Drosophila melanogaster: one gene and its partner. The gene in region 1 interacts genetically with each later gene. Each region holds a gene or a part of one and is shown on either strand. Other genes may lie near its edges.

Region 1 (5,764 bases):
TTAATCCGCTTCACCCGGTACCCACTATATTTGTTTTCTCCCATGTCTGCCACCTACTACCCAATGTCATTTACAGGAGCTTTACGCCTGCTTCATCGAACTGTACAGTAATGTTTAACAATGACTGACAATTTTGTAAAATGAGGGGTAAGTGAAAATTCACTTAATAGAATTGTAGTATTTAAGCGTTGGATGGAAAAATATTTAAAATGGTGCCCTCTATCATACAATTTATATTAAGCAATTTGAACTAGTTGTTTAACTATACTGAAATTTTGGCTTAGATATGCATCATAAGGTAATACAGGAACTTGTATCAGTCTATAGTGGGCATCACTGCCTTCCCCACGCTTGGGACCTTGGCAATGAGGCACTTCCAGCCATGGATCCGAATACGAAACCGAACCAGAGCCAAGGACCCGACTTCGGATGCGGAAATGCGCATGCCTGCGTGTCCTTGCCCTTGGTCCTTGGTCCTTGGTCTTCGCCCGATGGAGCAGTAGTAAGTCTCGTAGTGCCCCTGAAAACTCTTTTAACCTTCGTGCAGCCGTGTGGCAAGTGCATCGATGCAGCTCGCAAACATGCGCTTTTGCACATCCGCTCTATGCAGAGAGAGAGAAAGAGAGACGTTTTTAACTGGATTCAGATTGGGTTGACGGGGGCATCCTCTTAAAAGGACCAAGGGTGGCGTCTGGTTGCCCCTGCCACGTGTCGCCAGTTGCAAATTTCACGACGCTGTCATTGACCATGGTATTTGACCACTATTGTATTAGGGCTGCCAGGGCCAGTGTCTCAATGCAACGCCCTCGTTGCATTTGGAGGTCCTCAAGGAGACAGATTCGGTTCCAAAATGCCCCAGAAGACTGAACCTGAATTGGCAAATGTCTGCAGTGGTATTTGCAAGGTTAAATTACATTTGCTATAGTTTATTTGTACAGTCGTTAAAACTTAAAATAATAAGCATCGATATTCCATAAAATAAAATAGTCAATATGCAATTTCAGAGTTTCTATTAAAAAATTATAATAGTGTAGTCACGGGGGGTTTTCTTGAAACGCTGTCCGGGAACAGTGATGATAAGTTCTTGAAAGTTAATCCCGTCTTGTCAACAACAATGGCAAATAAGAAAATCAAGGTTACAAGATGCTGTTCCCTTCAAACCTATCCCACAGCGTGAAAGACAATGAAAGCCAGATCCATAAGAGTGCAACCCCCGATGCTGGCTAAAATCGAAGCTCATAAAGGAAGTATCTCTGCCTGGGACCGACCTTACCAAACAAAAAGTAGCCCATCGAGTGTCTAGGAAACCGCTTGTCCTCTTACTCCTTTCTCGCCTTTTCTGCTTCGCGGCCCTTTGATACCCACTCGCTTTCCACACCCCAAGTCCAAGAGTCTGAAGTTTGCTTTCATTTCGTTGCCCGAGGGGTTGCAACTCCAGACAGACAGGGACCGACAACCAGGATCAGAAAACCCGAGAAATCCACCCACTCGCCGACTTTTTGCAATTATTTTTAATTTCTGTGCTACGACAACTCCCGGAATGCCAAAACTTTGCAACCCCAAAAGAAGCACGCAAAAGGGGCAAGTCACTCCAGGCGGGAACCACGATATGTACTACTGTACACGTCAGAAACATGGAAATAAGCTTGGAAAGCCCGGTACAGGGCAACTTGAAATGTTGCGATATCGAGATCATTAATTTGGCCTGTCTAGTTGGATAATGATTATTTTATTATTTCTTTTTATTGATAGTTCATCATTTAATGAGTTCCTAAAAATTTTAATATAGGTTGGTAGGGATTTTTATTTTTTTCCAAGCTAGTAGTAAAATATATTTGGGTTATTAAAGGATGAAATCAACACACACCTTCCATATGTTCCACATGAAAACATCAGCAAATTTCTAAAAAATTCTTTCTAATTTAGCTAAACCAAAAAAAAATTAACATAATGCTCTAAAGAACTTGTTTAGTTGTTTAATTGTTTAAATAATTTTTCAAGTTTCAAGATTTCAGATTTCTTAAACTGAAAAATTAGCATGATTTCGATTTCTTTCTAGCGGGCATCCACTGTGGCGACGTACACGTCCGCGCCTGAGTTCCATGTTCGGCGTCCATTGCACCCCCAATCTGCTTTGTACATTGACTTCTCTGCTCCGCTTTGTTCTCTGCATTCGCTGCAGGTTCTGGCTCTGTCGGCCTTCCGCTCTGCTCTTTCTCTCTATCACTCTCTGTAATGGTGATGGTGCTCTCCCTTTTCTCTCTCTGTAGCCACTGTGCATTCCCATACCACGACCTACCTTACCCACACCCACAGTGCGCTGCCGCTGCACAACTCCCGCCCAGGCAGCGCAGTCGGCGTCGACGGCGACAGCGCAGTTCGTTTTCATATTGAAAGTAGAATTTTTCACTTTTGCGAAAATTTGCAGTCCAGTCTCGGTCTGGTCTCAGTCATTTTGAATACGTCATGTGGAACGCACCGTCACCGTCGCGTTCCGTCCTCTGTCGCGCTTTTCCTCTTCTGCGCAATCGTCTTACCAATCGGCGGTTAACTTTCGTTTGTTAGCACCAGAATTCGATCGGGACAAATAGCAATCCTCTGAATGCAGATACAAAAAGTATCTGCGTGATGCGTCCGAATAAGTGGTGAACTCTTTGTACGTGAATTGGATTAAGGCAGAGTTGTGTGAGTTTTGTGTGCCAATTCGATGCTATATAAATATCACAAGTAACAAGGGAAGCACAAGGACAGTCTTTTCAATCACAATCAGAATAGTGCAAACAATTGCCAAAGTTTAAAATTTTAAGCTGTGACAATATTAAATACAGAAATATCTATAAAAAAATATGGTGTAACATATTATTGTGTGCAAGTTAACACTCGTCGTCATTGAAAATAATTCAACTAACAGAAATCCTTTATATATAGGATTTGTGAAACTGATCTATCTTTAAATAGAAAACTTATGCTTAAACTCATGAACCATTCAACAAAATTCACTTAACTGCGCATAACTGAACGATGTTAAGCATATACATATGTATAAGCATTATGTGACTCATGAAAGCATAAAAAACGGTCAAATAATATCAAGAACGAAAAATGTGCATAGAAATGCTCTCAAATTGTTTTAAAATAATAAACGAAGCAAAAAGTAAAAATATAAAATTTGAAATAGTTGAACAAAGGTTTGCGAAGTACTTAACAGTTCATACAATCGAAAGCCTAAAAGTTAAAAGTAAATTAAAAGCAGGTTGCTAAACTAAACAGAACAATACGAAAACCGACAAACATAAGATAGAAAAGTGATCATTTTATATTGCACAAAACCATGTATAAGGGTCGCATGACCTTTAACTCTCGGATATCAGGCGTAACTAAGTCCTCAATTAGATGGTTAAATTTATTGACCAAAAAAAACGAACTCGAAAGCACTTATCCTTCCTGCTGAATAAGCTCCTTTTTTGGACCCATTCCCCGGCTGTCTGACTCATTCCACTCGGATGAAACTCCGTCTGGAGTTGCAACCCTCATTAGAGGCGAGCCACACCCCCTGCAAACAGAACGCAGCCCCACCACCCAACGCCCCCTGGCAACTCCGCTGAAATGCAGAGACCCCAAGAAAACAGAGGAGGAAAGCTAACAGGGGATCTGCAGCCCGTTAACAGAGCGCTGCTTGCTCAACTGTAGACGCCCTGTTAGACTCGCCTTGGTGTGGGTGAACTTGAACACACATACACTCACGTGCTCTATTTCTCTCGGCGCTCTCTTTTTATTTGCACTGCTCTCTTGCTCGATTTATTCTATTTCAAGTTCTTATTTTGCAATGCAAGTGTGTGCGATGTCGTTCAGTGTTAAGGTCAATACATTGCCGCCTCGTGCTGTGGTGTGCGTTTTTGATTGTAGTCTGTGTGTGGGCTTGCACTTGAAGAAAATGTGTAATCAAAGTATAATTTTTTATTTAACCGTAACGTTGATTTTCACTTAAATTTACTGTGGCTAACAACATAGATTTAATTATTATTACTAACCAATTTTTTTTAAATTAAATAAGATGTTTGAAATCAATTAAACACAACTATGTATGTGATTGCAAAATATTCGAATAAAAGCATCATTTTATTAAAAGTTTTATTAAAATAAATTGTTATATTTTAAAAGCCTGTTCAACATATACACTCTGTCAAATGGTTGCAGCTCGTGAGGTTGCATTTTGTTTGTTGATTACGCTGCTATTGAATGTTGTCATGCACACGCGAGTGCACACACTTGCACGCCGAGTGTCATCGCCTTTGCTCGTTTGCAAATAGCGGTTTATTCGGCGCCTAGCGTTTGTATCTCCGTACATTTTTCTGGAGGTCTCCCCCACTGACGTTTGCGGAAACTTCCGCTATATGGCCGCCATCGAATAGACAGGGAATTGTGGGGCATGAGGCATCATCTCATGGCGCTTGGAAAAAATATGCATTTGTTTCGCCAATGCCAGATGATTGCTCTGATTTCGTGTTATAGACAGGTGAAAGTAAGCGATGTTGATAATACTTCTTATTAAGTATTAAACTTTTGATGCTTAGTGATAATGAAAATGATAAATTTATTAAATTAAAGTTATCTGTAACAAGACTAAAGTAGAACAGCCTTTGTTTTTATAAATTTATGTTCAGATAAAATGTTTGTAGTCACTTTTTACAGGATGAACATTCAAAAACTTTCAACAAAACATAAAAGGCCAAGCCCCAACCCAAACTAATTTAATTTTATGCGCAATATTCCCTTTTTTGGCAATACAGCTCCATTCATCAATTACGAGCAGACCCCGAACCTACCTCAATGCGTAACCCTGCCCTTACCCAGAGAAAATAACCCAGTGTAGCCCAGACCAACCGAAAAGCGCAACCCCACGAAAATCTCTCCACACGCACATTACTCATACGCACTGAAACACGGAAGTTGAGTCCCGTCAAGTGAAACCCCAAATGGGAAGCGAGCAACCCCCGAATAATCAACCCTTAGCCACAAAAAACTCCAAAAACTCCCCCTTGAAACTGCCCCAGTCCAAATTTTGTTAACCCCCATCGCAAAAAAAAAGTTTAGAAAAATCCGTGTGCGTTCTTCTCTTTTGGCTGGCTCATTCGCGTTTATTTTTGTTTATTTATGTTTTGCTTTTCGTATTCTTCACCTCAGCTTCCTCGTACGCAGTCGCTCTCTCTCTCCGAGCCTCTCGCTTTCGAATTCTTCCCATCTTTGCAGTCGGATTCTCTCATTTTTCATACGGTTTTCACTTTCATTGTGCAGCTTTTTGCGCGAGAACCGACTCGCTTTTTTGTCGCTCTTTTCTGGTTCTGTTCTGGCTTTCAGAGCTTTTGCTGTTTCAGTCAGAGAAAGTACGGCCAACGCAACGGTTGCGAATATATTCCAACCTGTCGCGATTCTAGCAAATAAACAAAGCCCCACTGGCCGAGCAGAGAGTGAAAATATAAGGAAAAAATATATTGAAAAATATTATAATAAATATACATATAGTGTCAATAAATCGGGGAAATGTGCAATAATTATGGGAGCTCGCCAAGGTCCCTTATATAAGCGATAGCCCATTGTCAAGGGCGCCAAGTGTTTTCCACATTGAGCCGTGGCCGTGGCCGTAACCGTGTCCGTGTATCGTGCTCGTATCGTATCCGTAGCGCCTCGTGAGCGTCCTTGTCCTTGTGCAGGCCGAACAGCTGCTTGGGTCCTATCCTGTCCTGTTCCGCCCCCTTCGGCCGCG
Region 2 (5,432 bases), on another chromosome or scaffold:
CATGTCTGGAGTGTATCCCTCGTTCACTCATTCCCGTGCAGGGGGAGAATGTTGCTCTATTTCATCCCGTAGAGCCGCACAGAACCGCCCCCATTTTTTGACTTTGTTGCGATTCGGCTTAGTCGATGGACGAAGATGTCGGGAGGGCGGATGGATGCGGGTGCTGGGCCACATTTGGCCAAGTGTTTTGCGCTTAAGCCCTCCATATCAATCTCATGGGACCAGGACACGGATATAGAGATTTCGACATTTGTGATTTACCGAGCCCGCTGGAAAGCCGCAGAGCAAAGCATGCATTACTGTATCATAACTTTATGTTTTTGCTGGCATTGATTCCGTCGTTTTGGATTATGGGATTTTTCTCTCTGATTTAATGATAATTGAAAACGCTCGACAAACTTTGATTCGCGCTTTTGCTTCTCTTCTCTTCTTTTTTTTTTTTTTTGTCAGATTTTGGAAAATTCCCACGTCAAAAGAAAAAGTTTTAAACGAATTCACTTTAAATTCAATTACATTTTAAGCTGCAATCCAGAGAGAGGGGAGCGAAAGTAAAGTGGCATTCGCACATGATGCCATTCTGGGCACAAAGTCAACGCGAGGGCAAATATGCGCATTCAAAAGTTGACGCTCAAATCCCAAAGATTTGAATAATTGTAATGAATTTGCCGGAGCTCCGTAATCCGCCAGACGAGCCTCCGGGCACAGCGGCCCACACCCATCCCGGCACCACCCACTTTTGGGCAAATGTTGCAACATTTAATGGAAATGAAATGGTAATGACTGGATTTGGGAGCATAGTTAGGGCTACACTGAAATAAAACTGGCACCACACATTTAAAATTCACAAAATGGGAGTGTTTGCAGGGGAGTATCAATATATGTATTAATGGTTTAAATTACTCTTTATGCCTATATGGCATAATTACTTTACTCTCTATATGACGTGTTAAGGAAGTCCTTTTTGTTATTTATAGTTTTTATTTCTAATTTGAGGTCCGCAAAATATCTTTCTGTGTGCACTCACCGATAAATGAGTTTCCGCCGCACGCTGCGTTTGAAGAATCCGGAGCAGCCATTGCAGGCTAGGATTCCGTAGTGCTTTCCCGAGCTGGTGTCGCCGCACACCACGCAGATGAGGCCCAGGTTCTGACCCTTAATCCGGGTCATCGATGAACCCTCCGCCGCCGACGAGTGGTTCATGGAGTTGGCTGCCGCTTGGGCTGCCGCCGCCGCAGCAGCTGCAGCGGCACTGTGATTCCAGCTCAGCAATCGACCATTGGGCACGTTTGGGGCGGCGGGATGAGGGGGCGGTGGCTGTGTGGGCGGGGCCACGCCCGTTGATGTAGGTGGAGGCGCCTGTCCGTGCATCGGCGCCGGCGGCGGAGTGTAGCAATGCCGCTGCGGACTGTGGAGTTCTAAAGTTATGAAGCAGATTAGTGAATGGTATCTAAGAGAATCGAAATTGTATCTTTTTGTTATCTGGGAAGTTACTACGGCTTTATTAAGATCATACAGTTGGGTTTATTAGCTCGTATATAGATCTTAAAATCAACGAATTGTGCAAGTGGTTAAAGCTTAGTTGGCGTTTAAATATTAATAAATATTCAAAATTGTTTATAAAACGGGAAAAATAGTATACATAATGTTTAGCTAATACTAGCAGAATGTAGAAATGTAATGTATAATTCTATACAATTTCCGCACTGTAGCTTAACATTTTTAAACTTAACGCGTAATGATTGTCCTTTAGCTATTCTTTTCATCGGCATATTAAATGATTAATCTCGTTCCAGCATAAGACATTTAAAATTTTCGACCAGACTTAAGACCAGTTTTCCCGGTGGTAATGGGTGGTGCAATAAAAAATCACTTATGCAGTTCATATAAATTAAATCCCAATTTGTCAGTTGTACCGGATTGCGGATGCAAAGGACCTGCCGATCTTATCCCTGCGTGGCGACATTGACGCCCTGTAATCCGCAAATATATTTACACATTCAATTAGGGTGCCATTAAGCCAAACGGCTCTCGACCAGAGCGTGCCGAGCAATCTGTGCGCCAAATTTGCCTCGGGGGACGATTGTTTTGCCATCACACCCTAATTTGATTGTAGTTTCCTTACTGATTTTTTGATGCACTTAACCCTCGACGTTCCAAGGACGAGGCTGAGGACACATTTGTAACACTCGCCACTTGGCTGTGCGCTCGACCATTTGGGTTCGTGGTTCTGGTTTGCGTTTGGGTTTGGGTTTTGCTCCTGCTTGGCATTGGAATGGAAAGACAAAGTCAGGCGGCCATTCAGCCGGGACCAACTGGCAGGACTGCGGTCCAAAGCCGGAGGATTAGCGTCATATGCTTGCATTTTCCGGGGCACCGGGGCATCTTTGTTAATTTTATGGGCTCGTTGAAATTCACTTTGGCGCACACAAAAGTGTTAAGGGCGCCGGGATGGCTGTGTTATGAATTTCTGACATTTTTGGCGGCCTGACTCGGAGTCTAATTCAATTTGGTGATTATCGCAAATTGAATTTGCCTGGCCATTCGTGCATGCCATCAGCAAGTTGGGCATCGATTTGATTTGAGTGTCTCCGCAGACAACTGGTTCCTGCAAATTGGTAATTAAAATTGCCAATGTGATTTCCGAGCAGAGCGATCAGAATCCGCTTGTTTCTTTTCATGTTTTAGTCTGGGCATTTTACAATTGATCCAGTCATTTCAACATATAAAAAGTTATACTTCTTAACATTATATTTAAATTGGTCACACAGCTATAAAATAGATTTTCTATTCAAATCGCTAAACTTATAATTGACGTATAAGAATTCGCTTAAAAAAGGAGTCATATCTGAATATCATAAAATGAATTGTTAAAGTTTTTTTTTTGCTAGGAACTCAATCCTTAAAATGTGTGTTAGTTTTCGATATAACATTATTATTTCGGCACTAATTACAACTCACATTTGAAACAATTTTTTCCGTCGGGTAATTAGAATGAAAAAGCTTAAATTTAATTTATATTACGATGCCAGTCGTTTTTTGTAATCTTTGCTTTCACATCCTTTCCGTTTTTTTCTTTAACATATCACTTTTTTTATTTTCCTATCTTATCCGTCCTAATTAATCGTGGGTGTAAGAAACGTAATTATATTTCACGCACAATTTCCCAACAAACGTGATATTGTCCTTTTTAAAATTTGTTGGTAAAGGAATTTTTAGCCACCATTAGGGCCATCTTGTATATTTATTTTTTTATGTATTTAAGTAAGGAAACCACACCTTTGTGTTTACAGCTTAATAAATATATTTCATCACCATACTCATGTTTTTATTAACACACTAATTTACCTTGAGAAGATGGTCGTGTTTCGGAGGAATTTTCTTCCTTATTCATTTTGTTGAGCTTTGGCGGACTGCGATTAAAGATCACACCTCGTTGAAAAGTTTATTAACAATTGACACTATTTGTAAGAATTTCTAAAACACCACTTTTAAATGGCACTTTTCGGGTTCATCGCAGTAGGCTCCATATTAATTTGCAATCGTGGAGAGGCGACGGCAAGTGGACGGTCCTCTGATTCCCGCTGATGAAACCGAACCAATCCGATCCGACGGCGCTGCGAGTGTGCCGCGATGATGATGTTAACGTCTCGATGTACGATTTCAGATTCCGGATTTCAGATTTATCATAAAAGCGTGACAGGAGCTAAACACTGATGTGTCCACTCCAGCAGTCGGCCAACCAGCCAACGGGCCAACCCCGGACTAGGGGGAAAAAACCATATCGCAGGATATAATCCGCGGTCGCTGAGTGGGCAGAGAAGTCCTTGCCGCGCGCGTGTGTGTGTGAGGACAAAAAGCACGGCATACACTGCACACACACACACATAGGAGCAGGAAGAGCAGAGAGCATCGAGCAGCGAGCAAGGAGCAGCGAGCGAAGGATAACCGCACACCACCCACCCACCAACGGAGACTTTTAGTGGCAACTCTGGTGGCGCATTTGCTTGTTGGCTTGCTTTGATTCGTTCCTTCTTGATGCTGCGGCAGGAGCTTGTCCTCGCTGTTAGTGTTAGTGTGTTGGTGTGCGGCCCTGCGAGTGTGGGTAAGCCAAGCCGCAATCGCAATCTCCAATAAACACCCGGCTCTGCGCTCTCTGCGCACACACACAAGCACACATACCAAGGCACTCGAAAGAGCAGAGAACGCCCGGTCGCCATCATGACTCAAAAAAGCTGAGCGACGGCGGGGAGCGGAAACGGAAGTGGGCGGGAGAGCGGAAGTGGAGCAGAGCAATGGTGGCGCCCCACCAATACAACCATGAAACGAATGACGCAGCTGCGCGGCTGGCGCTCGTATAATCGTCTTGGGTTTTGACATTTTGTTTTTGTTTTATAATACCCTTTGTGATGTCGGCGCTTTCGAGCTTGCGTCGTCCTGCCCCTCGATCCTTTCGCTAACAGTTTGGCCCCCCTCTTGACCCTCTGCCAACGACGTCACTCTTGGCCTCGTATTCTAACCGCCCCCTAAAAGCCCCAACTTCCACCCAGAAATTGCCGCCACCCAGTAAACTGTAATTGAATTGAAGAAGAAAATGTTTCTGCTGGTGTCTGTGGGTGTACTTGGATCTAAATCAAGAATATTTAAGTGCACATATAACCAAAAGAGTTTTAAATTATATATATATTATAATATACATATATTATCCTAATATTATAATTTGTTTGTTTTTAAATATTTTTCTAATTTGATGGGTGATTTTATTTAACTTTAATATCACAATCATGTTTCATTTACCTTCCTGATTTTATTGCAACAATTATATATTTATATATTTAGATATAGATATTTAGATTATTATTTGTACAAGAAATTAAAGTAAGAACCAAGGCTTGTATTAAATTAAGTTTTAACGAATTTTAAGAAGCCTCATAGAACCAGTCATTCAAGTTTGTGAACTGTTCGAGAAAATATGCTGAAGACAGAATATATATGCTCAGAAGTGGGTTTTTATATTTTAAAAAGTATAACCTTAAAATATTTATAATGTCAAACTTAATGTAATGTGTAAAGATGTTCTATCTAATGGTCTACGTAGTCTTATTTATGCATACACATTTTTATTTACTCTCTATACATTATAATTTTATGGATAAGAGAGCCAGAGCTAGAGGTGGTCCCGGGTCCACTAATCCAATAATCGATAAATGCTGCTCGCAGGACCAAAACGGGCGGCATGGGGGCTCCGTTGTGCTCCCCGATTTTGTTGTGGGGCTTTTGCCATGCTTAATGCGCCGACATTAACTTTGTAACAAATGAGATGTCGGAATACAACAGTCAGGATCCTGGCAAGCCACAGCCCCTCCCCGCAGCTCCCTCCCTTGCTCCTTTCACCGCTCCTTTCTGCAATCTCGCTCTCTTCGCGGGGGAGAAAG

What was found. Genes that interact genetically often act in the same process or in processes that back each other up.
Region 2: of Eip75B (region 1) and Hr51, changing one suppresses a phenotype caused by changing the other (phenotypic suppression), as found in Drosophila melanogaster (one study listed by BioGRID).

What each region holds. Positions count from the first base shown.
Region 1 is NT_037436.4:18,061,403-18,067,166, reverse strand, and holds the start of Eip75B (Ecdysone-induced protein 75B), read left to right. Parts: upstream 1-2,470; 5' UTR 2,471-2,656; intron 2,657-5,713; exon of another isoform or gene 5,714-5,764. UniProt on the Drosophila melanogaster protein: Implicated in the regulation of ecdysone-triggered gene hierarchies. Probably plays a key role in mediating the regulation of the larval molt by 20-OH-ecdysone.
Region 2 is NT_033778.4:15,329,560-15,334,991, reverse strand, and holds the start of Hr51 (hormone receptor 51), read right to left. Parts: upstream 3,668-5,432; 5' UTR 3,392-3,667; coding exon 3,346-3,391; intron 1,416-3,345; coding exon 1,025-1,415; intron 1-1,024.